2 linked regions of the Caenorhabditis elegans genome follow. The protein of the gene in region 1 purifies or fractionates together with the protein of each later gene. This does not show direct contact. Each region holds a gene or a part of one and is shown on either strand. Other genes may lie near its edges. The genes, in order: abu-13 and mrpl-39.

What was found.
Region 2: the proteins of abu-13 (region 1) and mrpl-39 fractionate together in Caenorhabditis elegans (co-fractionation; one large-scale study listed by BioGRID). This does not show direct contact.

The regions. Positions count from the first base shown.
Region 1 is NC_003281.10:6,941,095-6,947,715, reverse strand, and holds abu-13 (Activated in Blocked Unfolded protein response), read left to right. Parts: upstream 1-1,817; 5' UTR 1,818-2,068; coding exon 2,069-2,463; intron 2,464-3,003; coding exon 3,004-3,139; intron 3,140-3,173; exon of another isoform or gene 3,174-3,323; intron 3,324-4,292; coding exon 4,293-4,643; intron 4,644-4,691; coding exon 4,692-4,820; intron 4,821-5,094; coding exon 5,095-5,149; intron 5,150-5,198; coding exon 5,199-5,391; intron 5,392-5,495; coding exon 5,496-5,718; 3' UTR 5,719-5,828; downstream 5,829-6,621. Other genes in the region: CCR4-NOT transcription complex subunit let-711, read right to left, coding at 154-312, 384-530, 584-711, 855-951; F57B9.3 (RNA helicase), read right to left, coding at 5,980-6,189, 6,432-6,621.
Region 2 is NC_003283.11:1,819,760-1,823,607, forward strand, and holds mrpl-39 (Mitochondrial Ribosomal Protein, Large), read left to right. Parts: upstream 1-1,819; 5' UTR 1,820-1,830; coding exon 1,831-1,897; intron 1,898-2,297; exon of another isoform or gene 2,298-2,298; coding exon 2,299-2,481; intron 2,482-2,530; coding exon 2,531-2,838; intron 2,839-2,896; coding exon 2,897-3,226; 3' UTR 3,227-3,336; downstream 3,337-3,848. Other genes in the region: gly-7 (putative N-acetylgalactosaminyltransferase 7), read right to left, coding at 182-656, 1,358-1,433, 1,482-1,531; Y32G9B.1 (DUF148 domain-containing protein), read right to left, coding at 3,394-3,848.

The sequences.
Region 1 (6,621 bases):
CCTAGATGCTTATAAATTTACTTTTGTCGAGTCGAATTTTAACGTTTATCTTGGGTTGAATAAAGTTTCAACTTCCCAGAAAATGGAGTTTATATTATTTTCAAGGGGATAGCTTTAGTAGGAAATTTTGAAAATTTAAAAATAAAAACTCACTTTCTTGCACAAATGGGTCAATGTCTTGCTGGCAACCATATCATCCATGGTCTTCGTGTATGCATAAATCAAATCACAGAGAGCCGAAGTGAGACGTTGAGCTCCAAGAATCTCTATTCCGCTTCGATTAATTTGTGTAACTGTCGAATAGGAGAGTATCTAGAAACGAAATATTTTTGAATAAACACTATGTAAAGAAAGCTTCAAAACTCCAAAAAAAAAGCGCTTACAGTGTGAAAAAGACTAAGGGCAGCGTCTTCTTCAAGAAACTTTTTCGCCGGTGCTTCGATTTGACAGAAATTGAATGCAGAGAGAATGATATTGGCTGCATGATTTGGCAATGATGGTGATGAACGACCACAAATGACTACGAGACGCTGAAAAATAGCTTTTTCCTCCCAAAATTTTAGTTTTCATTCGATTATCCTACCTGAATCATGAACGAGTGAGGTTTCACACGATGAATACTGCTATGAGCAAGAAGATTGTCGATATAAGCACAAGAGCAACTATTCAACACGAATCCCATCGGCATTTTCGACAAAAGCGTGATGGTGCCTGCAAATTTTTCAAAGATTTCAACAACATTGTGAAATTTATAAAACAGCTTCAATAAATAATTTCCCTTCATTAAAAAAAATCATAAATCGTTTCTTGAAGAACAAATTACATATTTTTATATTAGCTTAAAAAATACTCACCTTTTTTGGAGATAGGTCTCTCCAAATTCTCTCGATTCCGAATCATATGATTTTCCTCCACACGAAAAACGGGGGCCAACCCTGAAGTTGAATGCATTTTCAACAACGAATGGGGCGAAAAATGAGGAAAAAACGAATTAAAAAGTTTGAAAACTTAAAACTCGCGCTAATTTTTGTGAAGCGCATTTTTTAAAGATCAAATAAAACTATGTGAAGAAACAGTTAAAAATATTGAAAGATTGGCGCCGTGCCAAGATCCGTTCCGTTTTAATTCTAGTTTGTAAACGACACTCCGAAATTCCGAGGCGCGTGTTGTTTAGTGTACAGCAGAATGGAGGATCGACAGCTGCAGCTGTGAGAAAATGAGCACCGATCCATGAAATGTGTCGAAAGTTATAAAAAAAATGTGCACCATAAATTTTATAACTTTATAGCAGTTGACCAAATCACAATCATACAAAAAACATGCGCATGTACTTCGAAAATGTTGAAAAATATCCGTTTTTAAGAAATTGTAATTTTTCCTGTGAACGTTTTATTATATTTCAATTTTGCTTCTTGGTTACCGTATTTTTGTGGCCACATTCTCAAAATTATTCATCTGGGAATATAATATTTGGATGACATATGCTCTGTTTTGAGTACTCCATTTTTTTTAAATTAAAACATATTTGGGCGTGTCGAGACAGGGTACTGTGAATCGGCAAAATTTCGTATCTGTGTAATAGTTTAACTTTGAATTGTGGATTATCTGAAATACTGTCACATTTGAATGCCTCCCCTGACAACTAATTCCCGTTCGATAAAAAATAAAGTACAATCCCATAAATCGTTCATCAGATGTCACCACCCTGTCAAACTTCTCGCTGTTTCAATTTCTAAGGCAATCCGTACGCACGGATTTTCCTCTTTTCTCTCTCTTGTTGCTTACAAAAGAAAAGAAAAGAAAAGATAAAAATCGTGGTTGTAGGGAAAACGATGGGTGAAGAAGGAGGCGGTGTTGATGGTTCTGGACATGGAACATAAACGATCTCATGTCTGACGCTCTTCGTCTATTCATACTATTTTCGGATGACAAAGCTAAAAACCCGTTCCGCACCAGTTCTCTGCGTCTCTAAAACATCCAGATCTTCTATTCTTTTCTCCAGAATCGCAAGAAAAAGAAGAAGCTGAACCTCAAATCTCAGTTCTTCTTCGATTTCAAAATTCCAGTGATGTGGCTCCTGATAGCTCTTCTGCCCTCTGTGGCTCTAGCGCAGAACACCTTTCAAAACACTATTTTTGACCTACCAGCTCAGCTAGGTGGTGAGCCAGTTGGTGTCGCTGCTCAAGCTCAGGGAGCCCCACTTTTTGTGCAAACCGCTGATCAGAAGCCACCAGCAGTTGCCGCGCCACAGCTTCCAAATGCTGTTCCAGTAGCACCACAAGCTGCTGTCACACCAGCTCCATTCACCTTCCCAACTCTTCCAACAGTTGCTCCATTCACTCTTCCAAGCCATCCAACATTGGCTCCATTTACCCTTCCAACTCATGCTCCATTCACATTCCCAACTCATCCACCATTGGTCTTCCCACCACCAAGTACTCCAGCTCCATTTGTTCCACCAAGGTTTGTGATTGAAATGACATTCGTAAGCGAGTTGCGCATAAGAAATGGAAAATTGGAAATTGTTCAGTTTGATCTTTTACCGATCAACAAAATAGTTTTTACTATTATTTCAAATAAAAAAACTTCATTTCCAAAAGCGAGATTTCCCATTCTAGGCTATTATTGTACTATGAGTGGAAATTAGTTTCAGGTTTCACAACTCATAATATACTTGTTAGTTCATTTCAATTTTACTTGTTAGTTCATTTCACTTGTTAGTTCATTTATACTTGTTTGTTCATTTCAACATTTAAAATGCCCAGTTTTTAGCGTTATCTTCAAAATATTCAAAACATCTGGTTTCTGTAGAAAAGCAGTACAAACCAGTATGCTACCTGAAAACGAACAGAAACATCTACTGTATTTCTAATTATAATTATAACTATAGTTGTGCACACCTTTTTTTTATTTGGCAACTTATTTGAGAAGTTTTAATTAACCAAATGCCGACAACTGTATAGATTAAAAGGTCTTCATGAAATTTAACATATTTTGTTTCAGCCCATACGCATTTGTTCCACAACAAGGATACCAACAACAGAACAACTTCCAACAATATTATGGATATCCACAACAACAGCAACAAGGAAATCAATATTATAACAATAATAATAATAATAACGGATACTACAATCAGGTAAGCAATTTAAACCGTTTCAGGTTTCGGTCACTTGCAAAAATGTTCTTCTACTGGTTAAAAAAAATATATATAGAGTGGGATGTGTGACATCCGTTTTGACATATAACCCTTTTTATACCATTTTGATGCTGTTTGTCAATTGATGTGGCAAACGGCATCAACTGCATCTGAGACTTTGCTCTGTAACTCTGAAACCTTAATGCTTTCCTGAATATTATTGCTCAGGTGAAAAGTCAAAGGCCCATTCACTTGATATGATTGTCCAAATTTTTAATTGGTAACGCCCTGAAAAATTAAATTTCCTTACAATATAATATTAAAAAGGATGCCCACATCCTTGAATTGCCTCATGCCATTTTTCGAATCAGACTATTTTAAAAGCAAGTTATGACAATTGCAATAATTTTCAAAATTCCAAAACAAAAAACAAGATCATCCATGTTTATTGAAATAATAGTGATGTTATTCCATCCGCGATCTGATAAGGTGTCCAGTGAAATTGGTTTTTGGTGTGATATTATGCTGGCAAATGCCGTTAGCATCGGTGTCTCATCATGATCCACAAAACACGTCCTGGAAGTGAAGAAGACAGGATAATTGAACTGGATAAATGTAGAAAAAAAACCGACAGAAAGGAAAACAGATATACATTGATGAATAAAATGAATAGAATGTTGTAGGAAGAAGTAAACAACTAATTTTGTAGTTGTAGTGATGAATACGAGATATAGCAGTAGTTGACATACCCTAGGATACCATGTTCGAGTTTCTTTAACTATAGTTATAGTTTATCAGTTTTTGGCAAATTTCAATTGATTTTTTTCGATTTCTATGTTTTGGAAATTTTTTGGATTTTTTCCATTGGAATTTAATGACGTTTACTAAGTTTTCGCTACACATAATTTTGGAAGTTAACACAAAAAAAGGTTTCTTGAATGAATTTCATATTCTAATTATAAAACATTTATGCGACATTGCTCTAAATTAAAAAAAAAATCCTAATTAGTCCGTAAATTTGGCACTTTACCAAAACTTTAGTTTTGAAGAATCTGAAAAATTTTTTAAGTCTTATTAGTTCCAATTTTACTTTTACGTTAAAAATGTACAGGAGAGATTTTGAAAAAAAAAGTCTAAAAAATTTTAATTTCAGCAACAACAGCAGTTCAACGGATACAACAACAACTACAACAATAACAACAATCAGCAGCAACAGTTCTACAATAATAATAATAATAACTACAACAATAACAATTACAATAATAATAACAACTACAATCAGCAACCGCAAGGTGCTCAACAACCACAGCAACAAGTCCAACAACAAGTTCAACAGCCTCAGCAACCTGTCCAGCAACCTCAACCAACTCCAATTCGTCCACCACAGCCACAACGTTCCGGCCAACAGCCAGTGCAATCTTTCGAGTCACATACCCAAATCGTGCAACCAGTGAGAGCTGTTCAAGCTAATGCTCAACTTGTTCAGCCAGTCATTCGGCCAGCTGTAAGCTTTTTGTTTTCTTATGAAACTCACAAGTATGATATTTTTCAGGCCAGCGCAGTTGCCACCGCCGTAGTTGATACCGATTCATCTGCCAAGAAGGCCACAGAATTTAACAAAGCTAATGGAATTGAACAACCAAAGCCAGCTCATGCTGAAAAGGCTTCTCTTGATGCTGAGGTAAGGTTAATTTATTGTTTTCAATTAAAGTTCCTTGATTTTTGGTTTGGTTATCTTTAGTGTCATTAAAACATTGTCAGCTTTGCAGTGTAGTTTTACATTTGCGAAAGTTATTGGATTGAAGTATTTTTATTTAGACAGTTATGTTACTGAACTTGGCAAATATCAGCTCTAAATTCTCTAATTTTAAAGAAGCCCAAAAGTTCTGTAATTTCCAAATTAGATAAAGTTGCTTTAAATTTTCCGTAAATATTTTAAATGTTTAATACTTCAGGTGGATGCCAATGTTGACCGTCATTTGTGGTTCTCTGCGGATTATGATGTGAAGCGTAAGTTTTCAAAGTTTTCAGTGCAAAAGCCCCACTATTTTCTTTACAGAATGTCGCAAGGGACTCAACGGAATCGGAGTTAGATTCCAAAAGAAGTTCCCATCATATCTACAAAAGGGAGGAAAGGATAGAGAACTCGCCGAGCTCGTCGAGCAACGACTTTTGGAATGTGAGAGAAAATCATCGGCTTCTCACTGGGACAAGGTTGACACACTTTTGCAAAAGATTAGTTTGACAAACAGGTTGGTTTTCAGAACATATGTTGCTTTGAAAAATCTAGAAATCTCGAAATGTTTAGCCCAATTTTAAACTGAAAATATTTTAAAAGAAGTATTAACTTTTTCAGCGAAGAGGGAGAATGCCGTGCAGGACTTATTCAAGAGCGTATCTCATGTGTTAACCTTCTGAAATACGCGTGCCAATTCGTCGACTCTTCTTATCATTTCAAGCTTGTTCCAGCAAGAATTACTATTCAAGAAGCTCGTCAAGCTGAGAGTGGAGCTGAAAAGTGCAGACAAGTAATCAGAATTGTGAAGCAGCGCCTAGAGTCTGGAGCTGTAACTCTGTAAATGTGAGAAGTAAAATTGGAAAGATTATTGTGTAAATAGGCGCCTAATTTGAAATTTATTTATTTTTGGAATTTTGGTGTGCAATAAAAATAATAAATAATTTATTTATATTTTTGTCGGTTTAAAACAATTTTTTTAGCATTGAAAGCAAACTGTGCAAAAAGCGTTTTTGAAGAAAAATTGGAAAAGAAAATGTCTGAAAATTGACAGAGGCTTTCTAGAAATTCTCAGGTTCAGTAATTCTCTGAACTTGGGAAAATATCAGTTTTCATCGAGATATTCAAGGAATGATTCTGGCATCTCTTCGATTCGAGTCGAATAGTGATTTTCAATTTTCTTGAGATCACTAATATCGTTTTCTGTGAAAAAACTGATGGGAAGTCCTTTCGAACCAAAATTTCCTTGTCTTCCATTTCGTAACATGTAGTTCTCCATATTTCCAGATACATCGTAGTTGATAATGAGTGATTTCTAAAATTCATTTTTTAATTGAATTCACATTCATGATTTTTCAACTTGATCCAATTTACCAAGAAGGTGATTTTCCAGACGCAAAATGATTTATTGAAAGTGGAATTCAAAATTTTTTTTTTTATTGATACTGTTCAGAATAACTTTTCAATGGACTTCCTTTTCAAATAATTTATTAAACTGAATAGCTATTATACTATTTTTAAATTCTTTATTACAATATTTCGATGTTTTGCACTCACACGAATATTCATACCACGTGCCATAAGATCAGTGGTGACGAGTACACGAGTATTTCTCGAATTGAAATCTTTTACCATATCCTCGCGTTCATTGTGTTCCATATTTCCATGAAAACATGATACTTTTATTGGTATGGACATCAACTGCTCGGTGAGCTGGGTGACCCTTCTCCGAGTGTTACAGAAAATT
Region 2 (3,848 bases), on another chromosome or scaffold:
TTGAATTTTTTAAATCATGATATTTGGTCTTTGTGACCCCATAGGCATGTTTTAAAGCAATTTCCCCACAGAGCAGAGTCCAGAAAAATTTTAGCAAAAAACTGCCGCAACTGGAGAAAATTCTCGTAAATCTTTTTTTTTAACTAGAAATTCAAAGTCAGGGGTCCTCCTGCAAACTTACGCTTGTCAGAATCATCGTCAACCATCACAACCTGCTCGATCAACTCTGGCGGGGATCTGAGCAGCACCGAATGCACAGTTCGGAGCAACGGAGTCCATCCCTCATTGTGGAACACAACAACCACTGAAACAGTCGGCAGCTTTTCTGGATAATCCCAATGCTTGCACTCTTCCGGCCTGATATCCGGAATAGTTCGATTCATCGAGATCATATCGGAGACGTAGGTATTGAAGCCGAACTCCTTCTCCGCTGCTCTTCCTGCCGCCATTCCTTCTTCATCGGTTACTGGCACAGGTTTTCCGTGCTCTCCGGGCTGATTTGATGGGATTTCCGGCTCTTTTGGCTCGTAGTTTCCTAGTTCTGAGCCACGGAAGATTGTATTAGGATCAGGACCACCGGGGAGCTCCTTATTTGTGAGATCGTCTAAATCATCAAATTGTTGAGCGGCACTGTCCGATTTGATAGATGACATGCTCTGAAATTCATTTTGTTTTTGAGTTTTGTTTCTATTCCCTGAAATGTGGACTACGCTCAGTGGGAAAATTGCTTTAAAACACGCCTATGGGGTCACAATAACCGAATATCATAGTAAAAAAATTCAAAAAAATTTTCTAGATTTTATATGATTTTTTGAAAATTGGAAAAATCTCAGTTTTCCACTTAATTCCTATTTGAATTTCCGCCATTATTTGTATTAATTTATTTTATTTTTTCTCATTATTTCACTGATTTTCTTTATTATTTGTGTATTTTTATCGGAAAAAGAGACAGAAATGCATATTTTCATTAAAAATCACTGAAAATGGGTAAAACTGAACCTGAAATTATCATATTTCACAGTTTTACGCATTTACAGTGACTTTTAATGAAAAATTTGCATGTATCTTGCATTTTTCTCACTTTTTCCAATAAAAATACACAAATAATGAAGAAAATCAGTGAAATAATGATAAAAAATGAAATTAATTAATTAAAATAATGCAAGCACGCTCCATAGAACGAATCCAATTGGCGGAAATTCAAATAGGAATTATTAGGGGGAAAATTGAGATTTTTCCAATTTTCAAAAAATCATATAAAATTTAGAGACTTTTTTTGAATTTTTTTTGGTCATTGTGACCCCAGAGGCATGTTTTACAGCAATTTCCCCATTAGGCGCACTCCAAAAAAACCTACATTTCCCTTGCTATTGTAGACAAATCCAAATAAAACTAAAACTCCCAGGCAAATATACGTAGCCACTCGGCATCCTCTGAAACAAAATTTATTAATTTTAAAGTAGAGAAAAACAAAACCTCACCTTTGCCTCCATAATCTCTGTAGTTGCAGCTTTTTCCGGGCGATTATCATGTCAGATCCGGTTGGTTTAATCAAGTTTTCGTTCTGAAACGCAAAAAATACGTTAAATTGACTTAAAAATTGAACATTTCGGTCAAAAAAGCACAAATTCGGTAGAAAAATCGTAGAAAAATCGTCAATGTGTTGGCAAATACCCGACTCCGCCCACATGCAAGGCGCGGCACGCGTTTTCGCAATCTGCGCACACACTTTGGTTTCCGGTGATTTTATTTTTATTTTTCTGATTTCTTTTTTTAATGGTTTTTTGCTTTAAATCACTTAAAAAAACATATTTTTCAGGTCAATAAAACATGAAACTACCTGTCAGAAGCCTGCTGGCAATCCGGAGCGCATCAACTGCTGTGGCATCGGCCGAAAGTATGAGAAAAGTTATTCAGGCTTTTTTTCTAGCTTCTATAGAAATAATTTTTAATTATTAAATGTATAAAATTGTTGAGAAGCATCCTACACATCGAAAATGTATCTGAACCGCCAGTTTTGCGATTTCTGTTTCGTAAAACATGTAATTTTGTGAGGAAAAGCTGTTTCTTGACAGAAATCGTTGATTTTACCCACTTTCTGATCGTTTGATGCTTTTAAATGATATTTTTCGTTTGAATTTGCGAAAAAATTGATAAAAAGCTGAAAAAGAGAAAATTTAAACGGTGTTCAATAATTATGGAGGCTGTGAGTTGCATTAAATACCCCAAATTTCTTGAAAATAATATTTATAACAAAGAAAAAAACGATAAAAAATGCTTATAAAATATTATTTTCAGACGCTGTCCCGGCTTCCGTTCCAGCAGCGACTCTTTCCTCCGAGTTCTTCGATCACATTCGCCATCAAGTGTACGGGGACTTGAAAAAAGTGGACAAAGTCGTGGTTTCAGTGAGAACTGAGGATAAGGCTCAGCCAGTTCTTGTGAATCGGAATGTGTCCACATCATTTCACTGTTTTAATCGTAAGAAAGCAGATTTTATGAATAAATAATTAATTTTCCCCAATTTCAGATATCTCCAAGCACTTCGCCGACGACGCCGTACTCGTGGAAGTTCATCCATCCGTTGGCGGCGCCTACTTCAGCAGCGTCAATCAACCACTTCAAGATCAAGCCGAGATTCGAAAAATTGGATTCGATTCTGCTGAGGACGTGAATTTAGTGAATGATGCCTACTGGAGATCTTGTTCGCTAGTTACTGCTGCATTCCTGAAAGAAGCTCTGGACGTGGACGTGGATTTCAGATTCCCACGTGGAAATATTGAAAATGGATATTTTTCGGTGGATGTGAAGGGATTGAATGGGAACGTTTTCACCTTGGTGAGCAGTTTTTTTTTTTGAAATAAAATTAATTAAAATTTTTAAAATTGATTTTCAGGACGAACTTAACACGATAAATCGATTCGGTAAATCGTACATCCGCGAAGAGAAGCAATTCGAGGTGATCGCAGTGCCAACGAGTGTAGCAGAAGCATCAGGAATCCACGGCGATCATCTAGTACGAATCGGTCGCCAAGTGTTCTCCACAGATGGCCCATGCATCAATTCGACTCGTCAAATCGGCCGCTTCACGATTTTCCGATCAAAATCATCTGGCAAGAGTGTGATCGTCGGCGGAGTGTCGATTCCCATGAAACAGCCGACTTCATCATACTCCTGGAGCCTCGTCGCCAAGAATGCAGTGCAGAAATTTAGTAAAAATGCATGAGAATTGAAATTCAATAGTTTTTTATAGCTAGTTTCTGATTGTTGTTTTTCTTTTTTGTTACTTTTTTCTGTTCATTAAAAGAACAAAAATTATAAAGCTCTAAATAATTTATTAAGTATGTACAAAAACAAAAAAATAATCTAACACAGTGCCCTTTCAGAGACTAATTATCCATTCTTCAAGAAATTATTCAAAAATCCCTGCGCCACCTCCCCGGTAATCAAATTGTTCAGCTGTCCCAACACAGCTGCAGGCGACTGATCCATCATTCCAGACACTTCTTCGCATCTCTTCATGGCTCTCTGCAATTGTGTTCCGATTTCCAAGCTTGCCATCACATCACACGTGGCAACGGCTTCTCGCAGCGAATCACACTGTTGCCGTTCTGCACCACGTCGGCACGTCTCCTGGGATGCTTTCAGCAAATCGATTTCTCCGTGAAGAATTGCTCGTCGAAGTTCTTCACCCCACGCGTCGAACGTCTTCTCGTCGGCTTGATCCTGGCATTTTCCATACGCGATTTGCATGAATTCCGATATAAATGGAAGGCAGCCTTTGCCACGTGGCAGGCCAAAGTTACTATCCGTATTTGGCATAAAATCTCGGATTCCGATCTGCGGGA